3 linked regions of the Saccharomyces cerevisiae S288C genome follow. The protein of the gene in region 1 interacts with the protein of each later gene in a biochemical or structural test. Each region holds a gene or a part of one and is shown on either strand. Other genes may lie near its edges.

Region 1 (10,873 bases):
GACCAAAAAAAGGTTGGTATTTTTTCGATGACTCGCTTTATCGTCCTATAACGTTTAGTACTGAATTTATCACACCCAGTGCATATGTTTTATTTTACGAAAGAATTTTTTGAATCAAATTACCGGTTTGCAACACATGAATGGCGCACATTGAGGCACAAATACAATCTGCATATTATATACTTAACAGAAGTACAATCATATACAATACAAACAACAATTGACGAAACAATGAAAGTATGTACATCCTTATACTTATCTATTTGTGTTATGGGCTACATACGTAGAGGCCGATCACAATATCAGTGGTTGCTCATTGGAAAAGGAGGGATGCAGCAAATTCTGCATTTCCGTTAGTCTGTTTAAGAGCCTTTACCACAGCATCCCTAGGGAAACCTAGATCCATAAGCTGTTTAATCGTTTGTTCGGGAAACGTTCTCCCGGTTGCCGTTGTAGCACCGGCTGTACTTCTTCCCGTAGGTGTTGGCCCCATACCAGTCCTTGGAGCAAGCGCAGGAACAGCCCCCGGTTGTGGTGGTAGAGTTGAACTAGTCTTGGTGGGTGTTAGGGGCTTATCAGACGAAGTTGTAACTGACGTTGGTGCTGGAAGTCCTTCTTGAAAACTTTTTGGGATTTCCGCTTCACTCAAAAAGCTTGTCTCCACTTCTGCTATCCTAAGAACGTTTTCCTTTAAGTCCACACAAGCCAAATGCCTTTTCAGCATGTCTAGTCCTATCAAAACATCGATGTCAGTATCTAAGACGGTAAAACTGCATGGAATATATTGTGTTTCTATTTTGACTTGGGCTTGGTGAATTCTCCCAATAATTTTGCCGGTTCCTACGCCACGAGCTTCTCCAATAAATCTCTTGTCAATCATTCTCGACAGGCCAGTTTTCTTCGCTAACCTGGTGGACATAATCGTTGTTTGAGCCCCTGTATCTACAAATGCCTTTACGGGGTAGTTATTTATTTCGATATTAATGTAAAGCATAGGGACCTGGGTAAACATTTCAGGTGTATATTCGATAGCATTGCGCAACTGTTCATCGATAGCTTGTTGGTCTAAAAGCTCTGCAATCCTCTTCTTGTTGTCAGGATCATCGGGGTTGGCCATTAGTCTAGTATATTCATCTTGGGGGATGCCAAAAGGATTCATGGCGGTGTTATAGCCACCATAACGTCTTTGTAATATGAGCGGGCCCAATCTTTCCCTAAACAACAGTGGGTCATTTACTAAATCATTCAATCCAGGGATTTGCAAAATGAGTTGTGATCTAAGCATTTGATTATTAAGTAGCTCTTGTCTAAATTGCTCTATGAACGCTTCGTCGGACAAAGTAGCAGCATCTGTTTGAATGGAATTGGAAATCTTACCCCTAATCAATAATAAGTCATCGGTTTTGAGCCCTAGTTCTTTTAAAGACTGAGTTCTGTTTGAGTCTAGAATGTCCATATTGTAATATAAGTCGTGTTTTGTTTTGTCAAACCCGCAATCGGCCTGCAGTAATGCTATTAGATCAGTTAAAGCCATATCTTCACTGACTTCAATTGGGCCGTATATCTCGCCAGTAAGTTCGTTTGAAATTGTTAAATCCATCTTTACGTATATTTTTGCTGTTATGTTTGGTATGTACTTTGTTAACTACGTTAAGTATACTTTCTTATTCGACCTACTTTATATATCATTTTGGTATTATTATCTTTTCGGTGGCGATGAATTTACAGGGCGGGGTGGCGACGGGAATTCTTACATAAAGTTTAAGTTATCTATGAATCAATGAGAATTGGCCACTGCCCTCTGATATGACGATGGAAGTGGTACTTTTCCTTTTTAATTTTTTACTGAGAATCAAGAGAAGCTAGAGAGGGATTGGTCTCAATGAAACTAAAAAGGGAGTATGATGAGTTAATAAAAGCAGACGCTGTTAAGGAAATAGCAAAAGAATTAGGGTCTCGACCTCTAGAGGTTGCTCTTCCTGAGAAATATATTGCTAGACATGAAGAAAAGTTCAATATGGCTTGCGAACACATTTTAGAGAAAGATCCATCACTTTTTCCCATACTTAAGAATAATGAATTTACGTTGTACTTGAAGGAGACTCAAGTCCCTAATACACTCGAAGATTATTTTATTAGGCTTGCAAGCACAATTTTGTCTCAACAGATCAGTGGCCAAGCAGCTGAAAGCATCAAGGCAAGGGTTGTCAGTCTTTATGGCGGTGCATTTCCTGATTACAAAATCCTTTTCGAAGACTTCAAAGACCCAGCAAAATGTGCAGAAATCGCAAAATGTGGATTGAGTAAAAGGAAAATGATATATCTAGAGTCTCTTGCTGTCTATTTTACTGAAAAATATAAGGATATCGAAAAGCTCTTCGGTCAAAAAGATAATGATGAGGAAGTGATTGAAAGTTTAGTTACGAATGTAAAAGGTATAGGCCCATGGAGTGCCAAAATGTTCTTGATCTCCGGATTGAAAAGAATGGATGTATTTGCTCCTGAAGATCTAGGTATTGCTAGGGGTTTTTCAAAATACCTTTCAGATAAGCCAGAATTGGAAAAAGAATTAATGCGTGAAAGAAAAGTAGTTAAAAAGAGTAAGATTAAGCATAAGAAATACAACTGGAAAATATATGACGACGACATAATGGAAAAATGCTCTGAAACATTTTCTCCGTATAGGTCTGTGTTTATGTTCATACTTTGGAGGCTCGCGAGCACAAATACAGATGCCATGATGAAGGCAGAAGAAAATTTCGTGAAATCCTAACTTAAAGATATCATGTATTACTGACATTTATATAAGAAAAAAAAAAATAAAAATAAATACACCCTATTGTTGTGTGTGATGCCTACTAAAGAAATTCATATTTACAGCTTCTCGTAGGGATACCAACATATAATAAGAAAAAGCCTCACACATACAATCCAACCATTGGAGCGACAAAGCGGAAAAGCGAGTATACTGTCAATTCTCATAAGAATACCTTTATCCATTATAATGGTTTCGAGGCTAACTTCGACGCTTCACTTAAAATTTTACCGCTAGTTACTTTGCTTGAATGTGGCAAGGTAATGATTACGTTTCTCATCGGAGCTCTTGGCTTCCTTAATTGAGAGGCAAACACCAAAGAACTTGTTAGCAACGCCAAAGCACCAGCTTGATGGATAGAAGCTAACGATATTGGGACTAGGTACAATATAGTTAAAATACCAAGTGTTGCTTGTAAAGTAACGACGCCCATCATAACATGCAAAGAGGTCATCGCGTTCCTTGGAATTACGGCCTTCTTTTTGATAGCGTACATATGAGCAGCTAGTACTGATGTAAACGCAACGTACGCACATGTCCTATGGACCAACTGAACTGTAACCGGGTTTTCTAGCAAATTCCTCCACCACAGATCTTTCTTGTCCTCTCTTCTACAGAAGTTTTCGTCCATTAATTCACGAGAACTAGGGAACCATCGTTCACCCATTTTTGGCCAGGTGTTATAGACCCAACCAGCATCCAAACCGGCAACCATACCGCCACTCATAGCGGTAAGGAAAGACACCGCTAACAAAGCTAAAGAAATCTTTCTCATTGGGCCAATTGCGGGATTATCTAATTTTTTGAAGAGACTAATGGCTTGAACAGGGTTCTTAATCCATTTACATTCTCTCAATATTTCCAAACCAGTCCAGAGCATACCCATGTATAAAAAGAAGGCGGTACCCAAATGCGTAGTAAGTCTATATTGAGAAACGGTAGGCTTTGATTTTCTTGCGTCTAGTTGCTCTTGATCAAGACCAGACTTCACCATCCACCAACCAACAAATCCTTGTAATCCTAATAAACCTGCGAGACCAAACAACCTCTTATTGACATGGCCTGAAGTTTTTTTAGATACAGCGAAATAAACTGCAGGTAATATAAAAACAGCGCCGATAGCACGACCCCACAATCTATGAATCCACTCCATAAAAAATATAAACTTGAACTCGTCTAAATCAATGTGAGAATTCAACAATTTAAATTCTGGTGATTCCTTATACTTGATAAATTCTTCTTCCCATTCCTTCTGGTTCATAGGGGGCAAAGTACCTGTGACAGGTTTCCATTCGGTAATACTCAGCCCCGATTCTGTTAGTCTAGTCAACCCACCAAGAACAACAATACCAAATACCAAACCGGATGTACCTATTAACCAGTAAGCAACATTCTTCGAGGTCTTCAAACGTGATTCTATAGGGTTTGATTCTGAAGCAACATGTGGTTTAAAAACAGGGGAGGAGAGAGAAAATGGACGGATGCTCACAGTTTTCTTAAAATTATATAGTTGAGTCTTTCTGATTTGTTGTCTGATGGTAGAAATATTCCTTGAGGCCCCAATACTTTGCCAGGCCAAACGACTCGAGGTTCTCGTTAATAGCTTAGCTGCCTGCCTGCCCACTTCTATGTTTCTGAAAAGCATGACGTACAGTAGTTACAACTTCAGTGCTGTGCACTATTATATAATACAGTTCCAAGTTACAATAGGAAACTAAATAAACGATAAAGGAAAGATCAATAATTCAAAAGGCAAGAACTTATAAACTGCAAAACAATAGCTTTTTAGTAAGCAGGGTTTCTTTTTTGCTCCTTGCAATATACGAAATATCCGAAAGCCGTAAGCCGCGATAAATGCGGATCTTAGATTACCATATTCTTTTAGAAACCATTTTATAGCGAGCGACATTTTCAAGCGATCGTGGATTCTTGGAATCTTTCTGTCTTCTAATATCATTTAGGCTAGGAGGAGTACATTCAGCAGTTAAAGTAGTTTTTCTTTTCCGCATTGGCGATACACTTTCGGTCTCTATACGATTCTCTTTATTGTAATCAGAATGTAATGCAATTCTTGTAGACACGTCGACTTTACCCATACCGCCCGAGAGTAAACCTGGGACGTATTCTTCTTCAGTTACAACGGTATTGAAAGCTTGGTCTCTGAACCGTTGCTCTATCCGTTTGCTCCATTTGATTAAAATAAGATCTAGTGTAAATTTTGCCAACAATGCTAGTAAAAACACGGATGCCCCCATGAAGAGGATCCTAAATAGCGAAGGAAGGTAAGAAGGTTCCGATGATTTAAAAAGTGTTGGCCTCACCATTACAATAAAAAGGACAACGAATGCAGGTAAAGGCAATCCCAATCTATCTTCTAATTTGTGCGTTCTCGTAGAATAATCCTTGTATATTATATAATAGAACTTATCATATATCTGTGGGCGGATCCGATTGAATTTTGTGATGTAAGCATGCTTTGCCCAATCCACTAACACTTCACTCCCTACCACGCTTACCATCGGCCCACAAAGTATGTTAATGACGATTGATAATGTGGAACGTGGACTCCAGAAATTGATGCTTGTGTTCGATAATGAAGATGACCACGACTGGAGGTTCCTAAGGCCAGTTATTGACAATAATAAGGTCAACTTAAATCTTTCCACTACGTCTGCAATGGTTATTTGGAAAAATCCCTCCTTATCAAATTTCTTTAAAACCGATGATTTGATTTCTGCAAATTGCATGGATAGTAATAAAGTTAGCAAGGCATTGGAATACGAATTCACGGCTATGTTTAATGAAATGGCCTGGTAAACCAATACATAGCCGTGTATAGTCACATATGTCAAGCTCATTGACACTAACAAACATTTATGCAGTAATATCCGTTCCGAGTTTTTCCTAGAAAGCATAACCGTTAATAAGCTCTGGCCCAAACTTGCCAACATTTTGTCCGCCATTTCCAGTACACTGAATAGCATGTACAATTTCATCGTACTTTGCCGTTTTATCCTGTGATATAGTTTTGAGGTGTCTAGTTTGCTCAACAAAATGGATGAAATCACGATGATAAAAATCATACATCTCTCTTTATATTCTCTTGAAGTTATTCTATATCGAAAGGGTATTTTATTCTTATGCCCAGACCGTTGTTGCAGGCGATAATGCTGACGATAACTCTTGAATTGCTTTACATATCCCTTTATCAGTCGTATCGGTAATACAGTAAAGTAATACAAAAAACAGTCCAAGCTTGTTAAAAGTGCAAAGAGCATGAACTTTTCCAGGAACATTGGTATTCTTATCATGTTGAGTAATTGTTCCAATTCATAATCATCCTCATGTTCTTCTTCGCTTTTTGCAGCGCTACTTTCATCTTGCTCTTCAACAATATTGTGTCTATCTATAGTATTCCATAGGAAGGACCACTTTTTGTCTAATCGTGAAATTATATGTATAGCTGACGGCGCACTATTTCTTCTCAGTAAACGTTTTTTAGCTGTGTCCTTCGCTACTGCCGTATCCTTGTGTTGCATGGGAGTGCTGCTTTTTTTTTGGATTACTCGGTAGAATAATATATACACCTTATAGATCGATCAGGTCGATTCAGAGACAGCATCGTGATATTAAAAGTAACTAATTTTCTTATTTCATCTCTTTCCGATATTTTTGTCCGAAATAGGAATACTACAATACAAAATCAGCTGGCATCCAGAAGTGGTCAAAAGCAATGGAAAAGTGAAGAAAGAGACACATTGAGGAGCGAATTGAACAATTCATAAACATTCCCAGTCTAAAATATCTATACATCGGCATCTTAGTTTGAAAAATTAGGACGAAGTTAACAAGAATAAGAAATGGCGACGATTGAAGATATTAAGGAAACGGCGTTAATCCCTTTCCAAAAGCACAGGCAACTTTCCATGCATGAAGCAGAAGTTATAACTTTAGAGATTATAGGCTTATTATGTGATTCAGAATGCAAGGATGAGAAAACATTGAAATATTTGGGCCGATTTCTCACACCGGATATGTATCAAGACCTAGTAGATGAGAGGAATCTAAACAAAAGATGCGGATATCCTCTTTGCGGTAAATCGCCAGAAAGAATACGTGATCCATTTTCAATGAATGATACTACTAAGAAATTTTTATTAGAAAACAATCCGTATGCATATTTGTCGCACTATTGCAGTAAGTTCCATTTTAGATGTTCCCAATTTTATCAAGTGCAACTATCTGATGAAGCTTTATTTGCAAGAACAGGGGTTCACCTATTTGAAGATCCTGAACAGGACAAACACGATATAGATTTCAAAGTGACTTTGTTTGAAGAGTTGCTAAGAGAAAAGGCATCCGAAGAAGACATTAAATCATTGATATCCGGTCTCAAAAAGTTAGGATTAAATCCTGACAGTGGGACTACAGAAAAAGATGATACTGAGCTGGAAGATGATTTATCGAAGTGGTTGGCACAAATCAAAATTGTTGAGAATGATAATCCCAGCATTTTGGGTGATTTCACAAGGGAAGATTGACCGGCTATATCAATGCACCTAAATTCAGAACAGATTATGGACGTTTCATTGGCTGAAAATAGTTAATTCATCATCATAACTTAAAATACTTTACAGCGCCAGGACAAAAATACTGTTATTCGTGTATGTCAAAATGTGGTTCTCAATTTTCTACAATGTAGCGCTTTTATAACTTTGCTATAATTCACTTTGAGTCACCACGTAGCAATTCTTTACATACCTATTGGTTTCTCTGAAGGGCCATCCATATACGAAAGTGTTGCTTCAGAGTTTTGGTTCGAAAATCAACAAGTATTTAATGTGTTGAAGTATCGCGACGTTCCTTCCTTTTGGGCAATAACGGTAGAACTGGCCGTCCAGCATCGAATGGATACAATAGAAGGAAAATTTGGCAATTCAGAACAGTAGATATTTATCTAAGACGACCCAACAGCTAGGACGCTGCAAGAAGAATCGTTCACCTTCAATTTATTATTTGTTTAGCAAGACGAGAGTATGTGGGATTTTTGTGTGATAATTTAATGAAAGTTAGATAGGTGTCTGACTTCGATCTTTCGTTAAACTAATATTCTTAGTTTATAGAATACACTTGAAGCTCTCTTCGAGAACATAGGAAACCCACAGAAGGAAGTCGACACTTCTAGATAATAATATTGTCTCTTTTTTTTTTGTTTTGTATGTTATCAATAATTATCCTACTATTTAGTAAATCTTTTACGTTTCGGCATCCATGGAATTTGATAACCAATTCTCATCATGTATGTCATCTTCCTAGTTTGTGTAGAACGATATACTTATAAGTATATACTAGTCAATTCATGATTTTATTTGACCCTGTTAGTCCATCAATATACGCCATCTTTTTACTAATATATATAATGGCGTTAAAATACCGGTAAATCGTTCAATTGACTATAAGCAGTTTCTTCATTTGTAGAGAATGTGGATTTTGATGTAATTGTTGGGATTCCATTGTGATTAAGGTTATAATATTAGGTATGTAGATATACTAGAAGTTCTCCTCGAGGATTTAGGAATCCATAAAAGGGAATCTGCAATTCTACACAATTCTATAAATATTATTATCATCGTTTTATATGTTAATATTCATTGATCCTATTACATTATCAATCCTTGCGTTTCAGCTTCCACTAATTTAGATGACTATTTCTCATCATTTGCGTCATCTTCTAACACCGTATATGATAATATACTAGTAACGTAAATACTAGTTAGTAGATGTGTTGGAATAGAAATCAACTATCATCTACTAACTAGTATTTACATTACTAGTATATTATCATATACGGTGTTAGAAGATGACGCAAATGATGAGAAATAGTCATCTAAATTAGTGGAAGCTGAAACGCAAGGATTGATAATGTAATAGGATCAATGAATATAAACATATAAAACGGAATGAGGAATAATCGTAATATTAGTATGTAGAAATATAGATTCCATTTTGAGGATTCCTATATCCTCGAGGAGAACTTCTAGTATATTCTGTATACCTAATATTATAGCCTTTATCAACAATGGAATCCCAACAATTATCTCAACATTCACCCATTTCTCATGGTAGCGCCTGTGCTTCGGTTACTTCTAAGGAAGTCCACACAAATCAAGATCCGTTAGACGTTTCAGCTTCCAAAACAGAAGAATGTGAGAAGGCTTCCACTAAGGCTAACTCTCAACAGACAACAACACCTGCTTCATCAGCTGTTCCAGAGAACCCCCATCATGCCTCTCCTCAACCTGCTTCAGTACCACCTCCACAGAATGGGCCGTACCCACAGCAGTGCATGATGACCCAAAACCAAGCCAATCCATCTGGTTGGTCATTTTACGGACACCCATCTATGATTCCGTATACACCTTATCAAATGTCGCCTATGTACTTTCCACCTGGGCCACAATCACAGTTTCCGCAGTATCCATCATCAGTTGGAACGCCTCTGAGCACTCCATCACCTGAGTCAGGTAATACATTTACTGATTCATCCTCAGCGGACTCTGATATGACATCCACTAAAAAATATGTCAGACCACCACCAATGTTAACCTCACCTAATGACTTTCCAAATTGGGTTAAAACATACATCAAATTTTTACAAAACTCGAATCTCGGTGGTATTATTCCGACAGTAAACGGAAAACCCGTACGTCAGATCACTGATGATGAACTCACCTTCTTGTATAACACTTTTCAAATATTTGCTCCCTCTCAATTCCTACCTACCTGGGTCAAAGACATCCTATCCGTTGATTATACGGATATCATGAAAATTCTTTCCAAAAGTATTGAAAAAATGCAATCTGATACCCAAGAGGCAAACGACATTGTGACCCTGGCAAATTTGCAATATAATGGCAGTACACCTGCAGATGCATTTGAAACAAAAGTCACAAACATTATCGACAGACTGAACAATAATGGCATTCATATCAATAACAAGGTCGCATGCCAATTAATTATGAGAGGTCTATCTGGCGAATATAAATTTTTACGCTACACACGTCATCGACATCTAAATATGACAGTCGCTGAACTGTTCTTAGATATCCATGCTATTTATGAAGAACAACAGGGATCGAGAAACAGCAAACCTAATTACAGGAGAAATCTGAGTGATGAGAAGAATGATTCTCGCAGCTATACGAATACAACCAAACCCAAAGTTATAGCTCGGAATCCTCAAAAAACAAATAATTCGAAATCGAAAACAGCCAGGGCTCACAATGTATCCACATCTAATAACTCTCCCAGCACGGACAACGATTCCATCAGTAAATCAACTACTGAACCGATTCAATTGAACAATAAGCACGACCTTCACCTTAGGCCAGGAACTTACTGAATCTACGGTAAATCACACTAATCATTCTGATGATGAACTCCCTGGACACCTCCTTCTCGATTCAGGAGCATCACGAACCCTTATAAGATCTGCTCATCACATACACTCAGCATCATCTAATCCTGACATAAACGTAGTTGATGCTCAAAAAAGAAATATACCAATTAACGCTATTGGTGACCTACAATTTCACTTCCAGGACAACACCAAAACATCAATAAAGGTATTGCACACTCCTAACATAGCCTATGACTTACTCAGTTTGAATGAATTGGCTGCAGTAGATATCACAGCATGCTTTACCAAAAACGTCTTAGAACGATCTGACGGCACTGTACTTGCACCTATCGTAAAATATGGAGACTTTTACTGGGTATCTAAAAAGTACTTGCTTCCATCAAATATCTCCGTACCCACCATCAATAATGTCCATACAAGTGAAAGTACACGCAAATATCCTTATCCTTTCATTCATCGAATGCTTGCACATGCCAATGCACAGACAATTCGATACTCACTTAAAAATAACACCATCACGTATTTTAACGAATCAGATGTCGACTGGTCTAGTGCTATTGACTATCAATGTCCTGATTGTTTAATCGGCAAAAGCACCAAACACAGACATATCAAAGGTTCACGACTAAAATACCAAA
Region 2 (10,292 bases), on another chromosome or scaffold:
ATCTATGTTCCTTTTTCTAACTAATCACTCTTTCACTAAAGAATATTTCTTAGCAAAAATATGCGTACCTGCGTACCGGGTAAAAAGTCGCATTGTCCAAGTGCTGCTGCTTTTACGCAAAAGAACACATCTAACCGAAGAGGAATAAGCAGACCTGAACAATACCAAATAAAGAAGTTACTTCTTCTTTATCACCATTTTGACAGGTTTCTACATTTTTTTTTCCGTAGAGGGAAAACATATAAAAGCAGTCCAGTAATTGCTTGCTTTTTGAAATGGCTCTTTAAGCCTGAAAGCACAAGACGATTAGTGATATAGATAATATATACACAGATACACATGTACGTACATAAGTACTGATTTAGGCTGCAACCTTTTACCTGGCTCAACTGACACGAATATTTTGTTATCAGCCAAAATAAACGTTCATGATATATAGTGAGAAAAAAAGATCGATGGGACGACTCGCGGCCATTCCTTGTGCGTGCAGGAATCAAGAAAATAAACAAACCGGTACAGTACAATAAGCAGGCTGAGTAGGCGGAAAAAGTTTTATTCAGACGTGTACCGGAGCCTAAATCCTTTCTTACCCATAGCAACCACACTAAATATATTATTGTAACACGAGAAGATGTCACAAGGTCAGTCCAAAAAACTGGACGTAACTGTTGAGCAGCTTCGAAGTATATACCACCAGTTTCATGATATCTTGGAAGAAAAAACTGATTTGCATCTACCGAAGAAAGAATACGACGATGACGCTGTTAGGAGAGAGGTTCAGATACAGTTACAAGAATTTCTTTTGAGCGCTATGACGATGGCTTCGAAGTCACTAGAAGTTGTCAACGCCGACACGGTAGGAAAGACGGTAAAGCAATTGATCATGGAATCACAAGAGAAGTACATGGAGCCCTTTGACCTTGACCTGAATGAGCAAGTTAGAAAGATGTACCAAGAGTGGGAAGACGAAACCGTTAAGGTGGCCCAGTTGAGGCAAACGGGGCCTGCAAAAATCAACGAAGTTTACAACAACTCAAAGGATGAGTATTTGGCACAATTGGATGGGAGAATCGGCGTTCTTCAAGCTAGAATGATGCAGCAACAATCTGCTGACCATGATGATAGTACCGACGATGCCGATGATCACATCAACTGGGAGCACATCAAGCAGGATTACGTTGCCTCACTCAATGAATTGTATCAAACACAGCAAGACCTACCCAAGGTAAGATATAACGTTGAAAAGGTCAAGCGCTTAATGGACTTCCTGGAGGAGGATTGAATAAATAACATATAAGACAGTCAACCTCGTGGTAAATGATAACTATATTCTGGGGCTTTATTCATTTTTTTACACTTTTTTATCTTTGTACGAAGAGCTGAAAATAAAAAAGTATAGAGCCAGCCTTTTCCCACACACTAACGACAAAAGACGATATGCAGGCTGTGCGCATGGGGGAGAATCCAGTTTTTGCCCGTTAAAGAGAAAAAATTAGTGTCTGTGAAACGCGAATACAAAAAAAGAAAAGTAGCAGGATCTTACTTCTCGTAAAGACGTCAAGAACCAAATCAAGTCAAATCGTGGAAGTTACAAGGGGAAAGACCAATAACTTTTAGTAAAGAACAAAGAAAGGTCTATCTCACGCAGTGACGGTCTTTGCGGTAAATCTGTGTATACTTGAAAGAAAACCCTTTTACAATTAAAAAAGGCAATTAAAAATAGAAACAAATCAAATGAGTTATAATAATCCGTACCAGTTGGAAACCCCTTTTGAAGAGTCATACGAGTTGGACGAAGGTTCGAGCGCTATCGGTGCTGAAGGCCACGATTTCGTGGGCTTCATGAATAAGATCAGTCAAATCAATCGCGATCTCGATAAGTACGACCATACCATCAACCAGGTCGATTCTTTGCATAAGAGGCTACTGACCGAAGTTAATGAGGAGCAAGCAAGTCACTTAAGGCACTCCCTGGACAACTTCGTCGCACAAGCCACGGACTTGCAGTTCAAACTGAAAAATGAGATTAAAAGTGCCCAAAGGGATGGGATACATGACACCAACAAGCAAGCTCAGGCGGAAAACTCCAGACAAAGATTTTTGAAGCTTATCCAGGACTACAGAATTGTGGATTCCAACTACAAGGAGGAGAATAAAGAGCAAGCCAAGAGGCAGTATATGATCATTCAACCAGAGGCCACCGAAGATGAAGTTGAAGCAGCCATAAGCGATGTAGGGGGCCAGCAGATCTTCTCACAAGCATTGTTGAATGCTAACAGACGTGGGGAAGCCAAGACTGCTCTTGCGGAAGTCCAGGCAAGGCACCAAGAGTTATTGAAACTAGAAAAATCCATGGCAGAACTTACTCAATTGTTTAATGACATGGAAGAACTGGTAATAGAACAACAAGAAAACGTAGACGTCATCGACAAGAACGTTGAAGACGCTCAACTCGACGTAGAACAGGGTGTCGGTCATACCGATAAAGCCGTCAAGAGTGCCAGAAAAGCAAGAAAGAACAAGATTAGATGTTGGTTGATTGTATTCGCCATCATTGTAGTCGTTGTTGTTGTCGTTGTTGTCCCAGCCGTTGTCAAAACGCGTTAATTCCAACTATTTTCTATATTTCTATTCTATCCGAACTCCCCTTTTGTATATCAATATATCTTAATACTTTCGCCTATTCTTTACTATATTTCCTAAATTTTCTCTGGTCTGCAGGCCAAAAACAACAACTTACTACTGAATCATGGACGTGTATTTAGTTTAGCCAAGCAATATTTAAATATCACTCTTCCTAAAAATACATTGGGCATTACCCGCAAACTAACCCATCGCTTAGCAAAATCCAACCATTTTTTTTTTATCTCCCGCGTTTTCACATGCTACCTCATTCGCCTCGTAACGTTACGACCGAAATCTCACTAAGGCACGGTTTGTTGGGCAGTTTACAGATGTTGGATAACCAGTTGTTTCTAAACGGTTATGCCTCATATATAACTTGTTAACTGAAGGTTACACAAGACCACATCACCACTGTCGTGCTTTTCTAATAACCGCTATATTAGACGTTTAAAGGGCTACAGCAACACCAATTGAAATACCATCATTATGAAGCCGGAAGTTGAGCAAGAATTAGCTCATATTTTGCTAACTGAATTGTTAGCTTATCAATTTGCCTCTCCTGTGAGATGGATTGAAACTCAAGATGTTTTTTTGAAGGATTTTAACACTGAAAGGGTTGTTGAAATCGGTCCTTCTCCAACTTTGGCTGGGATGGCTCAAAGAACCTTGAAGAATAAATACGAATCTTACGATGCTGCTCTGTCTTTACATAGAGAAATCTTATGCTATTCGAAGGATGCCAAAGAGATTTATTATACCCCAGATCCATCCGAACTAGCTGCAAAGGAAGAGCCCGCTAAGGAAGAAGCTCCTGCTCCAACTCCAGCTGCTAGTGCTCCTGCTCCTGCAGCAGCAGCCCCAGCTCCCGTCGCGGCAGCAGCCCCAGCTGCAGCAGCTGCTGAGATTGCCGATGAACCTGTCAAGGCTTCCCTATTGTTGCACGTTTTGGTTGCTCACAAGTTGAAGAAGTCGTTAGATTCCATTCCAATGTCCAAGACAATCAAAGACTTGGTCGGTGGTAAATCTACAGTCCAAAATGAAATTTTGGGTGATTTAGGTAAAGAATTTGGTACTACTCCTGAAAAACCAGAAGAAACTCCATTAGAAGAATTGGCAGAAACTTTCCAAGATACCTTCTCTGGAGCATTGGGTAAGCAATCTTCCTCGTTATTATCAAGATTAATCTCATCTAAGATGCCTGGTGGGTTTACTATTACTGTCGCTAGAAAATACTTACAAACTCGCTGGGGACTACCATCTGGTAGACAAGATGGTGTCCTTTTGGTAGCTTTATCTAACGAGCCTGCTGCTCGTCTAGGTTCTGAAGCTGATGCCAAGGCTTTCTTGGACTCCATGGCTCAAAAATACGCTTCCATTGTTGGTGTTGACTTATCATCAGCTGCTAGCGCTAGTGGTGCTGCCGGTGCAGGTGCTGCTGCCGGTGCAGCTATGATCGATGCTGGCGCTCTGGAAGAAATAACCAAAGACCACAAGGTTTTGGCGCGTCAACAACTGCAAGTATTGGCTCGTTATCTAAAAATGGACTTGGATAACGGTGAAAGAAAGTTCTTGAAAGAAAAGGACACTGTTGCTGAACTTCAAGCTCAGTTGGATTACTTGAATGCCGAATTAGGTGAATTCTTTGTTAACGGTGTTGCTACTTCTTTCTCTAGAAAAAAGGCCAGAACCTTCGATTCTTCCTGGAACTGGGCTAAACAATCTTTATTATCATTATACTTTGAGATAATTCATGGTGTCTTGAAAAACGTTGATAGAGAGGTTGTTAGTGAAGCTATCAATATCATGAACAGATCTAACGATGCTTTGATTAAATTCATGGAATACCATATCTCTAACACTGATGAAACAAAAGGTGAAAACTATCAATTGGTTAAAACTCTTGGTGAGCAGTTGATTGAAAACTGTAAACAAGTTTTGGATGTTGATCCAGTTTACAAAGATGTTGCTAAGCCTACCGGTCCAAAAACTGCTATTGACAAGAACGGTAACATTACATACTCAGAAGAGCCAAGAGAAAAGGTTAGGAAATTATCTCAATACGTACAAGAAATGGCCCTTGGTGGTCCAATCACCAAAGAATCTCAACCTACTATTGAAGAGGATTTGACTCGTGTTTACAAGGCAATCAGTGCTCAAGCTGATAAACAAGATATTTCCAGCTCCACCAGGGTTGAATTTGAAAAACTATATAGTGATTTGATGAAGTTCTTGGAAAGCTCCAAAGAAATCGATCCTTCTCAAACAACCCAATTGGCCGGTATGGATGTTGAGGATGCTTTGGACAAAGATTCCACCAAAGAAGTTGCTTCTTTGCCAAACAAATCTACCATTTCTAAGACGGTATCTTCAACTATTCCAAGAGAAACTATTCCGTTCTTACATTTGAGAAAGAAGACTCCTGCCGGAGATTGGAAATATGACCGCCAATTGTCTTCTCTTTTCTTAGATGGTTTAGAAAAGGCTGCCTTCAACGGTGTCACCTTCAAGGACAAATACGTCTTGATCACTGGTGCTGGTAAGGGTTCTATTGGTGCTGAAGTCTTGCAAGGTTTGTTACAAGGTGGTGCTAAGGTTGTTGTTACCACCTCTCGTTTCTCTAAGCAAGTTACAGACTACTACCAATCCATTTACGCCAAATATGGTGCTAAGGGTTCTACTTTGATTGTTGTTCCATTCAACCAAGGTTCTAAGCAAGACGTTGAAGCTTTGATTGAATTTATCTACGACACTGAAAAGAATGGTGGTTTAGGTTGGGATCTAGATGCTATTATTCCATTCGCGGCCATTCCAGAACAAGGTATTGAATTAGAACATATTGATTCTAAGTCTGAATTTGCTCATAGAATCATGTTGACCAATATCTTAAGAATGATGGGTTGTGTCAAGAAGCAAAAATCTGCAAGAGGTATTGAAACAAGACCAGCTCAAGTCATTCTACCAATGTCTCCAAACCATGGTACTTTCGGTGGTGATGGTATGTATTCAGAATCCAAGTTGTCTTTGGAAACTTTGTTCAACAGATGGCACTCTGAATCCTGGGCCAATCAATTAACCGTTTGCGGTGCTATTATTGGTTGGACTAGAGGTACTGGTTTAATGAGCGCTAATAACATCATTGCTGAAGGCATTGAAAAGATGGGTGTTCGTACTTTCTCTCAAAAGGAAATGGCTTTCAACTTATTGGGTCTATTGACTCCAGAAGTCGTAGAATTGTGCCAAAAATCACCTGTTATGGCTGACTTGAATGGTGGTTTGCAATTTGTTCCTGAATTGAAGGAATTCACTGCTAAATTGCGTAAAGAGTTGGTTGAAACTTCTGAAGTTAGAAAGGCAGTTTCCATCGAAACTGCTTTGGAGCATAAGGTTGTCAATGGCAATAGCGCTGATGCTGCATATGCTCAAGTCGAAATTCAACCAAGAGCTAACATTCAACTGGACTTCCCAGAATTGAAACCATACAAACAGGTTAAACAAATTGCTCCCGCTGAGCTTGAAGGTTTGTTGGATTTGGAAAGAGTTATTGTAGTTACCGGTTTTGCTGAAGTCGGCCCATGGGGTTCGGCCAGAACAAGATGGGAAATGGAAGCTTTTGGTGAATTTTCGTTGGAAGGTTGCGTTGAAATGGCCTGGATTATGGGCTTCATTTCATACCATAACGGTAATTTGAAGGGTCGTCCATACACTGGTTGGGTTGATTCCAAAACAAAAGAACCAGTTGATGACAAGGACGTTAAGGCCAAGTATGAAACATCAATCCTAGAACACAGTGGTATCAGATTGATCGAACCAGAGTTATTCAATGGTTACAACCCAGAAAAGAAGGAAATGATTCAAGAAGTCATTGTCGAAGAAGACTTGGAACCATTTGAGGCTTCGAAGGAAACTGCCGAACAATTTAAACACCAACATGGTGACAAAGTGGATATCTTCGAAATCCCAGAAACAGGAGAGTACTCTGTTAAGTTACTAAAGGGTGCCACTTTATACATTCCAAAGGCTTTGAGATTTGACCGTTTGGTTGCAGGTCAAATTCCAACTGGTTGGAATGCTAAGACTTATGGTATCTCTGATGATATCATTTCTCAGGTTGACCCAATCACATTATTCGTTTTGGTCTCTGTTGTGGAAGCATTTATTGCATCTGGTATCACCGACCCATACGAAATGTACAAATACGTACATGTTTCTGAGGTTGGTAACTGTTCTGGTTCTGGTATGGGTGGTGTTTCTGCCTTACGTGGTATGTTTAAGGACCGTTTCAAGGATGAGCCTGTCCAAAATGATATTTTACAAGAATCATTTATCAACACCATGTCCGCTTGGGTTAATATGTTGTTGATTTCCTCATCTGGTCCAATCAAGACACCTGTTGGTGCCTGTGCCACATCCGTGGAATCTGTTGACATTGGTGTAGAAACCATCTTGTCTGGTAAGGCTAGAATCTGTATTGTCGGTGGTTACGATGATTTCCAAGAAGAAGGCTCCTTTGAGTTCGGTAACATGAAGGCCACTTCCAACACTTTGGAAGAATTTGAACATGGTCGTACCCCAGCGGAAATGTCCAGACCTGCCACCACTACCCGTAACGGTTTTATGGAAGCTCAAGGTGCTGGTATTCAAATCATCATGCAAGCTGATTTAGCTTTGAAGATGGGTGTGCCAATTTACGGTATTGTTGCCATGGCTGCTACCGCCACCGATAAGATTGGTAGATCTGTGCCAGCTCCAGGTAAGGGTATTTTAACCACTGCTCGTGAACACCACTCCAGTGTTAAGTATGCTTCACCAAACTTGAACATGAAGTACAGAAAGCGCCAATTGGTTACTCGTGAAGCTCAGATTAAAGATTGGGTAGAAAACGAATTGGAAGCTTTGAAGTTGGAGGCCGAAGAAATTCCAAGCGAAGACCAAAACGAGTTCTTACTTGAACGTACCAGAGAAATCCACAACGAAGCTGAAAGTCAATTGAGAGCTGCACAACAACAATGGGGTAACGACTTCTACAAGAGGGACCCACGTATTGCTCCATTGAGAGGAGCACTGGCTACTTACGGTTTAACTATTGATGACTTGGGTGTCGCTTCATTCCACGGTACATCCACAAAGGCTAATGACAAGAACGAATCTGCCACAATTAATGAAATGATGAAGCATTTGGGTAGATCTGAAGGTAATCCCGTCATTGGTGTTTTCCAAAAGTTCTTGACTGGTCATCCAAAGGGTGCTGCTGGTGCATGGATGATGAATGGTGCTTTGCAAATTCTAAACAGTGGTATTATTCCAGGTAACCGTAACGCTGATAACGTGGATAAGATCTTGGAGCAATTTGAATACGTCTTGTACCCATCCAAGACTTTAAAGACCGACGGTGTCAGAGCCGTGTCCATCACTTCTTTCGGTTTTGGTCAAAAGGGTGGTCAAGCTATTGTGGTTCATCCAGACTACTTATACGGTGCTATCACTGAAGACAGATACAACGAGTATGTCGCCAAGGTTAGTGCCAGAGAGAAAAGTGCCTACAAATTCTTCCATAATGGTATGATCTACAACAAGTTGTTCGTAAGTAAAGAGCATGCTCCATACACTGATGAATTGGAAGAGGATGTTTACTTGGACCCATTAGCCCGTGTATCTAAGGATAAGAAATCAGGCTCCTTGACTTTCAACTCTAAAAACATCCAAAGCAAGGACAGTTACATCAATGCTAACACCATTGAAACTGCCAAGATGATTGAAAACATGACCAAGGAGAAAGTCTCTAACGGTGGCGTCGGTGTAGATGTTGAATTAATCACTAGCATCAACGTTGAAAATGATACTTTTATCGAGCGCAATTTCACCCCGCAAGAAATAGAGTACTGCAGCGCGCAGCCTAGTGTGCAAAGCTCTTTCGCTGGGACATGGTCCGCCAAAGAGGCTGTTTTCAAGTCCTTAGGCGTCAAGTCCTTAGGCGGTGGTGCTGCATTGAAAGACATCGAAATCGTACGCGTTAACAAAAACGCTCCAGCCGTTGAACTGCACGGTAACGCCAAAAAGGCTGCCGAAGAAGCTGGTGTTACCGATGTGAAGGTATCTATTTCTCACGATGACCTCCAAGCTGTCGCGGTCGCCGTTTCTACTAAGAAATAGAGAGAGCACTACGTAGTCCCTCTTTTAATATGTAACGTGTCGCTTCTATTTATCAGACATAATAGTAATTACTTTGTTATTTTTCTATCGTTTCCTTACTTTAGCCTCTGATTTCGATCTGGCCTAATCATTGTGTACGTCTATAATCATATGGCCCTGAGCGTACACACCGTTCAATTCTTCTATTTGGTCGGCCCACACAAATTCGCGCGGGGGCATATTGACGCGTGGAAGAATAGAAGTCCGCGTAGCAGCTCTGGGGTAATTAGGCTTTTACGATATCGGCTGGCCCAGCACCGGTTTTTATTCCTCCCGTGGTTGTTGTCTCTACCGTGAGGAGGGGAAAGGGTCAGGGACGGCCGGTAGTTATGTTGTCTCAACGATTACTGCCATCTATTGTTTACACCAATCGCGTGGGGCAAGGGGCTGGAAGGCTGTGGTGTACAGAATAGGGTCTAATACCCGATGCGCGACGCTCCTGCGACTGGTTGTGTGAGCCACCCCTTGATCGCCTCTGCCAAATACTCAGGGAAGAGAAAAATCGCGAAGGTGGACGAGTGCCCTTAAAGAACCAGCATCCTCGATCGCCGCTGCCGTTCGCCCTGGCTTAGCGGTGGGAAGCATCCTTTGGCTTTCGAATTCTCCGCCGTTGAGTCCCCCTAAGGGCCTTATTTATCCCCTCTATTTTTTTTTAGAAAATGTTTTCTTTTTCAAGATTTGTTTGCTCCTTCACGGCTTCCCCCTTAACCGTTCAACAGTCTTCCGTATATAACAATCTCAATCCACTCTTATTGCCTATAATTTTGATTAATTCTTATTCATCCCGGCAGATAAAGTTTCGTCTTGTTTTGAAAGAGACAGGAGTTCTTGGCTGCAGTATTTTGCAACAGCTTCATTAACCATGTATGTAAAGAAAAAATCTGGAGCGACTTACTGGCTTAGCTTTTTTTACTAACACATAAATAATACTGTGATAAGATAAGAAAAAAACACGAAATGGAAAATACCACGAATCGTAATACTGCAGGCGTTCTTACGAGCAGCAATGGTAACTTTGCCACCAATAGTGTAGCGGCATCAACTCCGAAGAGGTCCAAAAGTGCTCGAAGGAAAACGTTCAAATGCACCGGATATGACGGTTGTACGATGTCCTTCACTAGAGCGGAACATCTTGCACGTCATATAAGAAAGCACACTGGTGAAAAGCCGTTCCAGTGTCCTGCATGTTTGAAATTCTTCAGTAGAGTTGATAATTTGAAACAGCATCGGGAATCGGTCCATGCACATAAAAACCACCATTCTACCAGCTCGCACCAGCGTAAGCCTTCCTCTTCATCTTTATCCTCCTCTTCTTCTGCATCTTCTTCGTCTTCTGCTTCATCATCTACATCATATAGTGATCCTTACAGGAAAACTAATATTAATAGCGGGAACATGCCGATGATGGCAGAAAACGAAAAAGCGCCCCAAATAATACATTCTTCGCCGGAGTTCATTACTAGCACGAGAAGCATCCC
Region 3 (10,873 bases), on another chromosome or scaffold:
GGCATATGCATACAAATATATAAATACATTCGGGTGTATACGTAAATATATAAATATATAAAGTAACATATGTATATAAAGACGAAAGATTGAACGCCATCGTGGAGAGGGTTTTCGTATGAAGGTGCCTTAAGTCTTGTGTAGAAGTAGTTCTTTAGTTAAGATAGAACCTGGTAAAGACTCAATGGACTATTTACATGTATATAACAACAACCAGGCGCACGTTCCCAGAACACCTCCAGGCAGGCAGTGCCTATCGCCCGTTCTGCCCCCAATCATATTGGCGTTAGATCAACAACATTCGCTGACATTTGGGTACTCCAGCCCCAGGTGCTTGCCAACACCCATATTGCCTTCTATGAGCACAAATACGCCCGTCCATTGGTCACAACAGGTTGTCACTATCCCTGTCGCTGTACGAAATCATGCCGCAATGATGCCTATTATCACACCTATGACCTCCCCAAGACCTCAGTTTGAAGCAACGGCTCCCTCACCCCCTTTGGCCCCGGTCGCCATAAAGCTGCCAGATTTGAAACTACCACCGTCGCCTGTGCCCAGCACAGTAGAGGACAGAGTTTCACATCCTATCCTGCCCAAAATTGTGATCGGGAATGGCGGCGGCCGTGATGTTGAGCGAGATAGTACCGAGGAATTAATTAGGAAGATTCCAAACTACATTGGTTGTGCAAAAACAAAGGCACAATTGAGCAAAGTTAGGTCTGGTAAACAACTAATTGCATGCGCACAGGAATATCACCATCCAGTAAACAAGGACGAGATCGAAAATATCAACAACATTCTAAACTTCAGGGACTTTATTTTCAAGCATCCAAAATCCTCCTTCGAGTTCCTATGTACCCTGTCGTTTGAGCAGTTCGTTAGAGTATATTCATTCATTAGTTTCATCTACAGGACAAAGAAAATCAATAAGAACAAGTACGAACTCGTTTGTGAGATGAATGTTCACGAGCAACTCAGCAATAAGCGTATACAAAGAACAAGGACTCCTGAAAAGTACAAAATACATTTGATCTGCGAGTCAAAACTCATACTGACCTTCAACCACTGTACGAAGACAGTAAAATTTGAGTCTATCAATGGCGGGCACTGCCATCCGATTTCAGCCAACCACATTATCAAGCCCTCCCTCTTCCTTACCCACTGCATTAATAAATGCTACCAGACCGTGTCAGACCCTACCGATTTGAAATTGGCATTGAGAGACGCCTTAGAAGCCCTTGATCATGAAAGGATAGGATTGTCTTTCTTAAAGAGGAGACATTTCAAGTGCTCACACCAAGCATCATCACTCTCGAATGCCAGCGCCACATTGAAGAAACAAGAAGATCATGACACATTTGGTGTACATACAGGAATAATTCATACGGCAAATTTCTTCATGTTTAATGCATCTAGCGATATATTCCAGAGGAACTAACATATATAAATATCTGTATCCTTCTTTAAGAAAACACAATTGCATACTTTTTCCATTATAACTGACTGTTTCAGATCCTGCAATAGAAAGTATTTTTTAAGTAATGAAATAGTGCTTCCATTGATAGTAAGTGAGTAATAAGACGATCGGAAACTATTAATATAAGTATAGTTTACATATATATATATATATATGTGCCAGACGATAATATCACCGTAGTTTCCGGCCGGGTTATGCCACGCGAAAACGCCTCGAGCCAAGGGAAAAACTAAACTACAAAACAAAACAAAACAAAACAAAAACATCTACTATATCGTTTTACCCAATTCAGTATATCCGTCTACAACAGTTCTCGCCACCCAAGATCTGTAAACTTACAACTGCAAACAAACAATGAGAGAAGTTATTAGTATTAATGGTATGTTCGATTTGCCCGTCCAGGCTAGATCTTTTTTTTGTTAGTTCATTTTGGCGTTTCATCTTTCATTACTAACTTCAACGCAAAATTTTTTTTTTTTTGATTTCTCTTTACAGTCGGTCAAGCTGGTTGTCAGATTGGTAATGCCTGTTGGGAATTATATTCCCTTGAGCACGGTATTAAGCCGGATGGACATCTAGAAGATGGCCTTTCAAAGCCGAAGGGAGGAGAAGAGGGTTTCTCCACGTTTTTCCATGAAACCGGCTACGGTAAGTTCGTTCCAAGGGCTATTTACGTGGATTTAGAGCCCAACGTTATTGACGAAGTCCGTAACGGTCCTTACAAGGACTTGTTCCATCCAGAACAGTTGATCAGTGGTAAGGAGGACGCGGCTAATAATTATGCAAGAGGCCATTACACCGTTGGTAGAGAAATTTTGGGCGATGTTCTGGATAGGATTAGAAAACTGGCAGACCAATGTGATGGGTTACAAGGGTTCTTGTTTACCCATTCTCTTGGTGGTGGTACTGGTTCCGGTCTAGGGTCCTTACTGTTGGAAGAACTATCCGCTGAATACGGTAAGAAATCCAAGCTGGAATTTGCCGTATACCCTGCTCCACAAGTGTCTACTTCTGTGGTTGAGCCTTACAACACAGTTTTAACTACACATACTACATTGGAACATGCAGATTGTACTTTCATGGTCGATAATGAGGCTATTTACGACATGTGCAAAAGAAACTTGGATATCCCAAGACCAAGCTTTGCAAACTTAAACAACCTAATTGCTCAAGTGGTATCATCTGTTACAGCATCATTGAGATTCGACGGTTCATTAAATGTAGATTTGAACGAATTTCAAACCAATTTGGTTCCATATCCAAGAATTCATTTCCCCTTAGTTTCATATTCTCCAGTCTTATCCAAATCAAAGGCATTCCATGAGTCCAACTCTGTGTCAGAAATTACAAACGCTTGTTTTGAACCTGGTAACCAGATGGTCAAGTGTGATCCAAGAGATGGTAAATACATGGCTACTTGTCTGTTATACAGGGGTGATGTGGTAACAAGAGATGTTCAAAGAGCTGTCGAGCAGGTGAAAAACAAGAAGACCGTCCAATTGGTTGATTGGTGTCCAACTGGTTTCAAGATCGGTATTTGCTACGAACCTCCAACTGCCACACCAAACTCACAATTGGCCACTGTGGATAGGGCCGTCTGTATGTTGTCAAATACCACATCCATTGCTGAGGCTTGGAAGAGAATCGATAGAAAATTCGATTTAATGTATGCCAAACGTGCTTTCGTCCACTGGTATGTCGGTGAAGGTATGGAAGAAGGTGAATTCACCGAAGCTAGAGAAGATTTGGCTGCTTTAGAAAGAGATTACATCGAAGTGGGTGCCGACTCATACGCTGAGGAAGAGGAATTTTAAGGTTCACTCTCGCCCCCAACCTCCTTATCCTTTCTATATTTCAAGTATATTGTAAAAAAAAAAATTCCCCCTACTGTTATATCTCTTTGGTGATATCTTATCTATAATCTACTTATTATATTTCTCTAATATCTATGTACAAAAAATAAAAAAAAAAACCATTCTCCTTCTCTAACCTGCATTTGATGAAAGCTTAGTAAGTCTCATCGTAGTTGATGGGCCAAAGACATTTGTACTTGTTTCATCAGATTCTTACATCACCCATTTCCATGATTATTTCACGGATTTCATTAGTAATTGCATTTTTGTATCCCTAGTTCCTTTTCTCCCGCCTTGCCGTCGAATTGAAAAAAAAAATGGAAATGAGGACATCTTCCATTGATATCCAGGACAAAGCAAGAGTAGAAGTAACTATTAGCAAGGAGAATTCCAAAAATAGTGAACTTCAAGGTAAGCAGATCTATAGTTTCAATATCTGATTTTCTGCTTTTCAAAACTTAAAATTCATTAGAAGGTAAAACAAGAACCCGTAAAATTAAAGTTACCGATATTATCAGGTTTTTCACCCCATGTCTACTATCCCATTTAGAAAGAACTATGTGTTCAAAAACTGGGCCGGAATTTATTCTGCAAAACCAGAACGTTACTTCCAACCAAGTTCAATTGATGAGGTTGTCGAGTTAGTAAAGAGTGCCAGGCTAGCTGAAAAAAGCTTAGTTACTGTTGGTTCGGGCCATTCTCCTAGTAACATGTGCGTTACTGATGAATGGCTTGTTAACTTAGACAGATTGGACAAAGTACAAAAGTTTGTTGAATATCCTGAGTTACATTATGCCGATGTCACAGTTGATGCCGGTATGAGGCTTTACCAATTGAATGAATTTTTGGGTGCGAAAGGTTACTCTATCCAAAATTTAGGCTCTATCTCAGAACAAAGTGTTGCTGGCATAATCTCTACTGGTAGTCATGGTTCCTCACCTTATCACGGTTTGATTTCTTCTCAATACGTAAACTTGACTATTGTTAATGGTAAGGGCGAATTGAAGTTCTTGGATGCTGAAAACGATCCAGAAGTCTTTAAAGCTGCTTTACTTTCAGTTGGAAAAATTGGTATCATTGTCTCTGCTACTATCAGGGTTGTTCCCGGCTTCAATATTAAATCCACTCAAGAAGTGATTACTTTTGAAAACCTTTTGAAGCAATGGGATACCCTATGGACTTCATCTGAATTTATCAGAGTTTGGTGGTACCCTTATACTAGAAAATGTGTTCTATGGAGGGGTAACAAAACTACAGATGCCCAAAATGGTCCAGCCAAGTCATGGTGGGGTACCAAGCTGGGTAGATTTTTCTACGAAACTCTATTATGGATCTCTACCAAAATCTATGCGCCATTAACCCCATTTGTGGAAAAGTTCGTTTTCAACAGGCAATACGGGAAATTGGAGAAGAGCTCTACTGGTGATGTTAATGTTACCGATTCTATCAGCGGATTTAATATGGACTGTTTGTTTTCACAATTTGTTGATGAATGGGGGTGCCCTATGGATAATGGTTTGGAAGTCTTACGTTCATTGGATCATTCTATTGCGCAGGCTGCCATAAACAAAGAATTTTATGTCCACGTGCCTATGGAAGTCCGTTGCTCAAATACTACATTACCTTCTGAACCCTTGGATACTAGCAAGAGAACAAACACCAGTCCCGGTCCCGTTTATGGCAATGTGTGCCGCCCATTCCTGGATAACACACCATCCCATTGCAGATTTGCTCCGTTGGAAAATGTTACCAACAGTCAGTTGACGTTGTACATAAATGCTACCATTTATAGGCCGTTTGGCTGTAATACTCCAATTCATAAATGGTTTACCCTTTTTGAAAATACTATGATGGTAGCGGGAGGTAAGCCACATTGGGCCAAGAACTTCCTAGGCTCAACCACTCTAGCTGCTGGACCAGTGAAAAAGGATACTGATTACGATGACTTTGAAATGAGGGGGATGGCATTGAAGGTTGAAGAATGGTATGGCGAGGATTTGAAAAAGTTCCGGAAAATAAGAAAGGAGCAAGATCCCGATAATGTATTCTTGGCAAACAAACAGTGGGCTATCATAAATGGTATTATAGATCCTAGTGAGTTGTCCGACTAGTCTCTTTTTGTCTCAATAATCTCTATATTTTACTAAAAAAGAATATATATATATATATATATAGCAGTGTGATGACTGTTCATGTACATTCTAATAACTATTCCTAGCTGCCTATCAAAGACTTTTTTTTTGAATTAGAGCTTTTTAGTAATCATGGGACCCTTTTTTCTTTTCATTATCCTTACTATAGTTTTTTTTTTTTGGAAAAGCCGAACGCGGTAATGATTGGTCGTATAAGCAAAAACGAAACATCGGCATGGCGTAACGTAGATCCATCTACAGGGAAGTTTTTAGAAATCAGATAGAAATGTATTTTGAGTGCTGTATATATTGCAGTACTTTTTTTCTCTCTAGGATTTAAGTATGTTTAGTATTAACTCATATCACATTTTTTCTTTGTAAAAAGCAACCATTCGCAACAATGTCGATAGTAGAGACATGCATATCTTTTGTTTCGACAAATCCGTTTTATCCATTTTGTACTGGATTGCTTCTGAATTGTGTGGTTACACCTCTTTACTTTTGGAAAACGCAAAATGGTAGAATCGTGGTCGTTTCATTGCTGCAATTCGTAGTACTTTATGCCACAGCGTTTATTTCGATTGGAACTGATAAATCTCTTTACAGAAATAAATGGGTCGCGCTACCGCTATCCAAGAAGACCCGCATTTCTCGTAATACTAGTCTGTACTGCTTCAAGTTAAAGTACCCATTTGAAAGATTGCATATTCCCATGGGATACCACCTGGCAGTAAGGGTTACAATAAATGGTGAGCGATTAGTGAGGTACTATACGCCAGTAAATGTTCCTAATACGGAGGGTCACTTGGAATTAGTAGTCAAGACGTATAAACATGGTGTCGTTTCTAAGTATTTTGATAAATTAAAAATTCGCCAGTATGTTGAATTTAAAGGGCCGTTAGGTGAGCTGGAATATGATCAGGACACCGCAACAGAGTTGGGTATAATCGCAGGGGGGTCTGGTATAACCCCTGTATTGCAAGTGCTGCAAGAAATCATACCCTCTCCAGAAGACCTAACACACATTTCTTTGATATACGCAAACGAAACAGAGGATGACATTCTCATGAAATCGCAACTAGACCACATGGCTAAGGAGTACCCGCATTTTAAAGTTCATTATGTAATTCATAAGCCAAACGGTAAATGGAACGGTGATGTTGGGTACGTAACTCTAGAGGAAATGAAAAGATACCTACCTAAACAAGCGGAGGACCATCGTTTATTGATTTGCGGACCACCTAAAATGAATGAAATGGTTTTGAATTATGCAAAGGAGTTGGGGTGGAGTAATGGGTTTCACAAAGGTAATGGAACCGATAAAGTTTTTGTTTTTTAATCAACTGTTTACGATTGATGATTTTTCATGTAAATAAGCATTAATTATATTTAGATATATATTCGTATTTTATTAATAATTAGGAGGAATAAAGTCCGACATTTTTTTCAAAAAAAAAAAAATAATATTTCACAACGAAAAATCTATAAATAAAATATTTAACATATGCTCTTCCAAATGTACATACTTTCAATTGATTTCACTCAATGACAACGCAATGGCCAATTGTAAGTCTTCATCAACATTATTACTAGCATCAACGCCAACAGAACTACCGATAGTGTTCTCAGTTGAGGTTCGTTCGGATGACTCTGCTGCACCATATGTAGCAAAATTATCGTCGCTCAAGGGCCCATTTCGTCGACCTGTAGTATGATTTCTAAGATGTCTTCTCCTTTCGTCCTCCACTCTTGATTGTCTGATGGCTCTGAGAAACTCTTCATCATCTTCATCTATCTCATCATTCGTATTATTACCATGATTCGCAGAGCTATTCGTTTGCGTCTCATATATCAGTTGAGATTCCTCCAGCGCCCTTCTTAACTGCTCATCTTCATCATCTCCGACAGGCTCCCCCGCTTCAGCTTGATTCCGTGCTTGCGCCTCCTGTGATTCTAAGAGTGCAATTCTCAACTGAATGTCGTTTTCTTCATCGGTGTCGCCTGAAAGTTCAAGGTCTCCACCATACGCATCGATCAATCTTGATATTTCTGACTGTCTTTTTCTTCTAAGGTCTTCATCTTCATCATAATATTGCAGCTCCGTGTTCAAAGTTTCATTCCACTTATTGCTTACTGTGTTTTTACCTTTAGTGGAATGGTGATGTTTCTTTGAATCACTTGAAACAAACTTTAAATAATTCAAAACGTTACCGCTTCCCATAATGATTTTATCCTGCGATACCTTCAAAAATTCGGGAAACTTCTCGGTTTTCAACACTGTCTTTATTAACTCGCCTGTCATCGCGTTCAATATTTGAAGAACATTTGGCAATGCTACCACAACTATTAAATTTGTCACCTGCGATACGTATACCTGCTCATCAAAACTTATCTTACATTGAACTTTTAAGCCTGACGAAGAAAGATCTCTTATATTGATAATGTATAAAGTGTTCTGTGTCGTCAAAAGACTGATATAGCAGCCGTCATCACCAGCAAATTGCCAGTTTTGTTCCCTTTGAGAAGTTTTTTCATCTATTTCAACTGCGCATATTTGTTCAGGCATCTCCAACTTTCTCAAATTGCCGAAGTTACCATTGGGATTGACCGATATTGTATAAACGTTATTCAGGTCAGCAAGTACCAAAGTCATGGAACCGAAATCCATCTTGAAAAACCGTACCCTCATAGGCTGTTCGTCCAGATCCTTAGGAATATCAATACTGTGCAATTCCTGCATTTGATGGATAATGTACAGCTTTTCATCATCCATAATTAAGGTCCAATCTTTAAAAAAAGCCAGTTTCCAAATTACCCTATTAGAAACCTTCCACATCTTAACAAGCTTATTTTCGCACCACCATATAATTTCACCGTTTTCAGAGCCACTAACAGACCAGTCCTCTCTTGACGTGTCCCAGGATTCTGAATTACAAATGGCAGTAACGCCTGCACTATGCCTTCCCGTAAATTCCATCACGGGCGTTAAGTACGATTTGTTACTTAGCAGTTTTCCAAACACTCTGCCGTCAAACCTACCAAACACTGCAGCATTAATATTGAAGTCCATGGTAGAACAACCTTGTGGTGTTGTACATGGAATATAAATCAATTTCTTAAATTTCTTCTGCCTTTTGTGATTTTGTAACTGTAAAATTGTAATGGTACCATCATTATAAGCTGCAACTCGTGGATAATCAAACACTATGCGTTCTATACTGGGCTGATCCCAGTTTCTCGTCGGAATTATTGTGTATTTGGTTCTTATAGCCTTGTTATGCTGCCAATGATGAAGACCCCGTGTCCTTTCAATATACTCTACACTAAATTTCGAAGACTGAGAAAATGTGGGGAAATGAGTCGTGTGAACTCTAGACTTAAACAGGTTCTTCCAAAGTTCTTCATCGTGAATTAAGTTCCGGAAATGCGTAGAAAGTTCTTGCAACGTGAACAAGTCCTTTTCGTCTAAGTGAGAAAAGATGTTTATCAGGATTTCGGGTGGAAGGTCCTGCAATACCAAGCCAGGCCGCTCCATGCTGTCTTATTCCCTAGTGTCGGCCACCTGATAAAGGTTTTTAACTCGTACCTGGTATACCTGCCTGTTAGATTTATTTAAGGCATCTCTAAGTAATACTGAAAACCGCCACATGCGAGAAAATGGAAAGGGAAAAATTAAGGCTGCGAAAATTAATAATAGCCAAAAAAAAGTGCATGATAAAGCCTCACCCCGAGTTCGAACCGGAAAAAAAAATAGCTAAGTGAACTACTTATCCAAAGCGCCAAAAGGGGTAACAAGAAGCATTTCCCGGCTTTTAAAATGCGTACATAAACTGCTAAAAAATGTCTTGTTTCTTTTTTCGGTATATTTGAAGACGGGGATTTTAAATCATGAAATACGTACTTCGCCCTAAAGAGTCACTACAGAATTTACAGAATAGTTAGATCGAAGCACGCTAAATTGGCACCCGAAATAACACTGCAGTTGTTGCAGCTGTGGCGCGCAGTGCGAATCTGCCGCAGAAAACCCAGGAAATAGCGACCGGACACCACGTAATGCAACGCTGACCTTTCGGCGGCAAAGAATTGGGGTAAACATATAAAGTATTATTTAAAGAGAGAGCAATTCCAAGACAACAGAAAATCTTACAATATATTTATCACAGAATTCGCGGCGCAATTATACGTGGCAAGGAACCTAGCAGGCTTTACGCAAGATGCCATGGAAAATTTAACATCTAAGGCTACCTGAATAAAATGCCAAAAGCGAAAAAACCGTCTGAGAGCCCGCTAAACTCTTCAGAGTCGGTAGTAGATACCAAGATTACGCTAGCCGCACATTTCCAATTTGTTGTTATTCCCTATGCCGCACGCTTGGCAAAGCTGTATATTTGACTCTTTTAGTAGATTTGTAGAGCTTTTCCTGGCATACAATAAGCAAAGACTTTATTTCCGCTCGAGTCCGCTTTTAACCGCCGAATTCCTCCGGCTAACCAATGAAATGCAAGAGCGCACAAAAAGTGGGGCAGCTCCGAATGCGCGCGTTCTCATTGGCCAGGCACTCGGGGCCGAGACTCGGTGTGCCTTACAATTCCCCCATGACAAAGCAAAAACTGTCAGTTTCCCTCGAATCATACACACGTCAATTACAAATCCATGGATTAAGTTGTCTCTCGTTCGTCCATATTACACTTTTCTCTTTAGTTGTATGCTTTATAAAATTGATCCGTGAAAAGTTTTCCACATAATAAACCAAGACAACAGGATTGTTTATAACGTTATAAGAAAGCAGAAGAAAATTTGCTGTGCGTTGTTTCCCTAATATCGCACCCAAAGAACCAAGACACATCATAAAAGGAGCTATAGCTTCAACTCTGACACAATTTTTTGTCAGTTTATATTCATCTTCACAAAAAAAAAAATTATACAAATATAGAAACAAATAACTCGCCCAGCTTTTTTTGCATAAAAAGATAAGTGCATTTAAATTTATAGAGACTACAACAAACAGAAAAGAAAAAACAAGCATACACAAACGAAAATGGCTTTCAAATCATTCATATACTCTAAAGGTTATCATCGTTCCGCCGCTCAAAAGAAAACTGCAACATCTTTTTTCGATAGCTCCTACCAGTATCTAAGGCAAAACCAAGGTTTGGTAAATTCGGATCCCGTACTTCATGCATCTCATCTACATCCTCATCCGGTCGTAGTAGCGAATGTAAACTATAACAACGTAGATGATATTTTGCATCCGCACGACCTGGATTCTAGCATAAACAACACTAACAACCCCCTCACCCACGAAGAACTACTTTATAACCAAAACGTTTCCCTTCGATCGCTGAAGCAGCAGCAAAGTACAAACTATGTTAATAACAACAACAACAATCAACATAGGTATTATTCTA

Evidence for each region.
Region 2: the proteins of DDI1 (region 1) and SSO1 form a complex in vitro, tested with the Saccharomyces cerevisiae proteins (one study listed by BioGRID).
Region 3: the proteins of DDI1 (region 1) and UFO1 form a complex in vitro, tested with the Saccharomyces cerevisiae proteins (one study listed by BioGRID).

The regions. Positions count from the first base shown.
Region 1 is NC_001137.3:447,046-457,918, reverse strand, and holds DDI1 (Ddi1p), read right to left. Parts: upstream 1,601-10,873; coding exon 314-1,600; downstream 1-313. Other genes in the region: putative ubiquitin-specific protease UBP5, read left to right, coding at 1-113; MAG1 (DNA-3-methyladenine glycosylase II), read left to right, coding at 1,883-2,773; COX15 (Cox15p), read right to left, coding at 3,000-4,460; EMP65 (Emp65p), read right to left, coding at 4,684-6,354; RNA polymerase II subunit B1 CTD phosphatase RTR1, read left to right, coding at 6,676-7,356; YER138W-A (uncharacterized protein), read right to left, coding at 8,341-8,445; YER137C-A (gag protein), read left to right, coding at 8,895-10,217. UniProt on the Saccharomyces cerevisiae protein: Aspartic protease. Appears to act as negative regulator of constitutive exocytosis. May act at the level of secretory vesicle docking and fusion as a competitive inhibitor of SNARE assembly.
Region 2 is NC_001148.4:105,541-115,832, forward strand, and holds SSO1 (syntaxin), read left to right. Parts: upstream 1-1,734; coding exon 1,735-2,607; downstream 2,608-10,292. Other genes in the region: MIND complex subunit NSL1, read left to right, coding at 632-1,282; trifunctional fatty acid synthase subunit FAS2, read left to right, coding at 3,112-8,775; USV1 (Usv1p), read left to right, coding at 9,772-10,292. UniProt on the Saccharomyces cerevisiae protein: Required for vesicle fusion with the plasma membrane.
Region 3 is NC_001145.3:90,362-101,234, reverse strand, and holds UFO1 (SCF ubiquitin ligase complex subunit UFO1), read right to left. Parts: upstream 9,001-10,873; coding exon 6,994-9,000; downstream 1-6,993. Other genes in the region: YML083C (uncharacterized protein), read left to right, coding at 185-1,441; alpha-tubulin TUB1, read left to right, coding at 1,835-1,859, 1,976-3,294; ALO1 (D-arabinono-1,4-lactone oxidase), read left to right, coding at 3,864-5,444; AIM33 (cytochrome-b5 reductase), read left to right, coding at 5,866-6,804; RPM2 (ribonuclease P), read left to right, coding at 10,504-10,873. UniProt on the Saccharomyces cerevisiae protein: Substrate recognition component of a SCF (SKP1-CUL1-F-box protein) E3 ubiquitin-protein ligase complex which mediates the ubiquitination and subsequent proteasomal degradation of target proteins. Probably recognizes and binds to phosphorylated target proteins.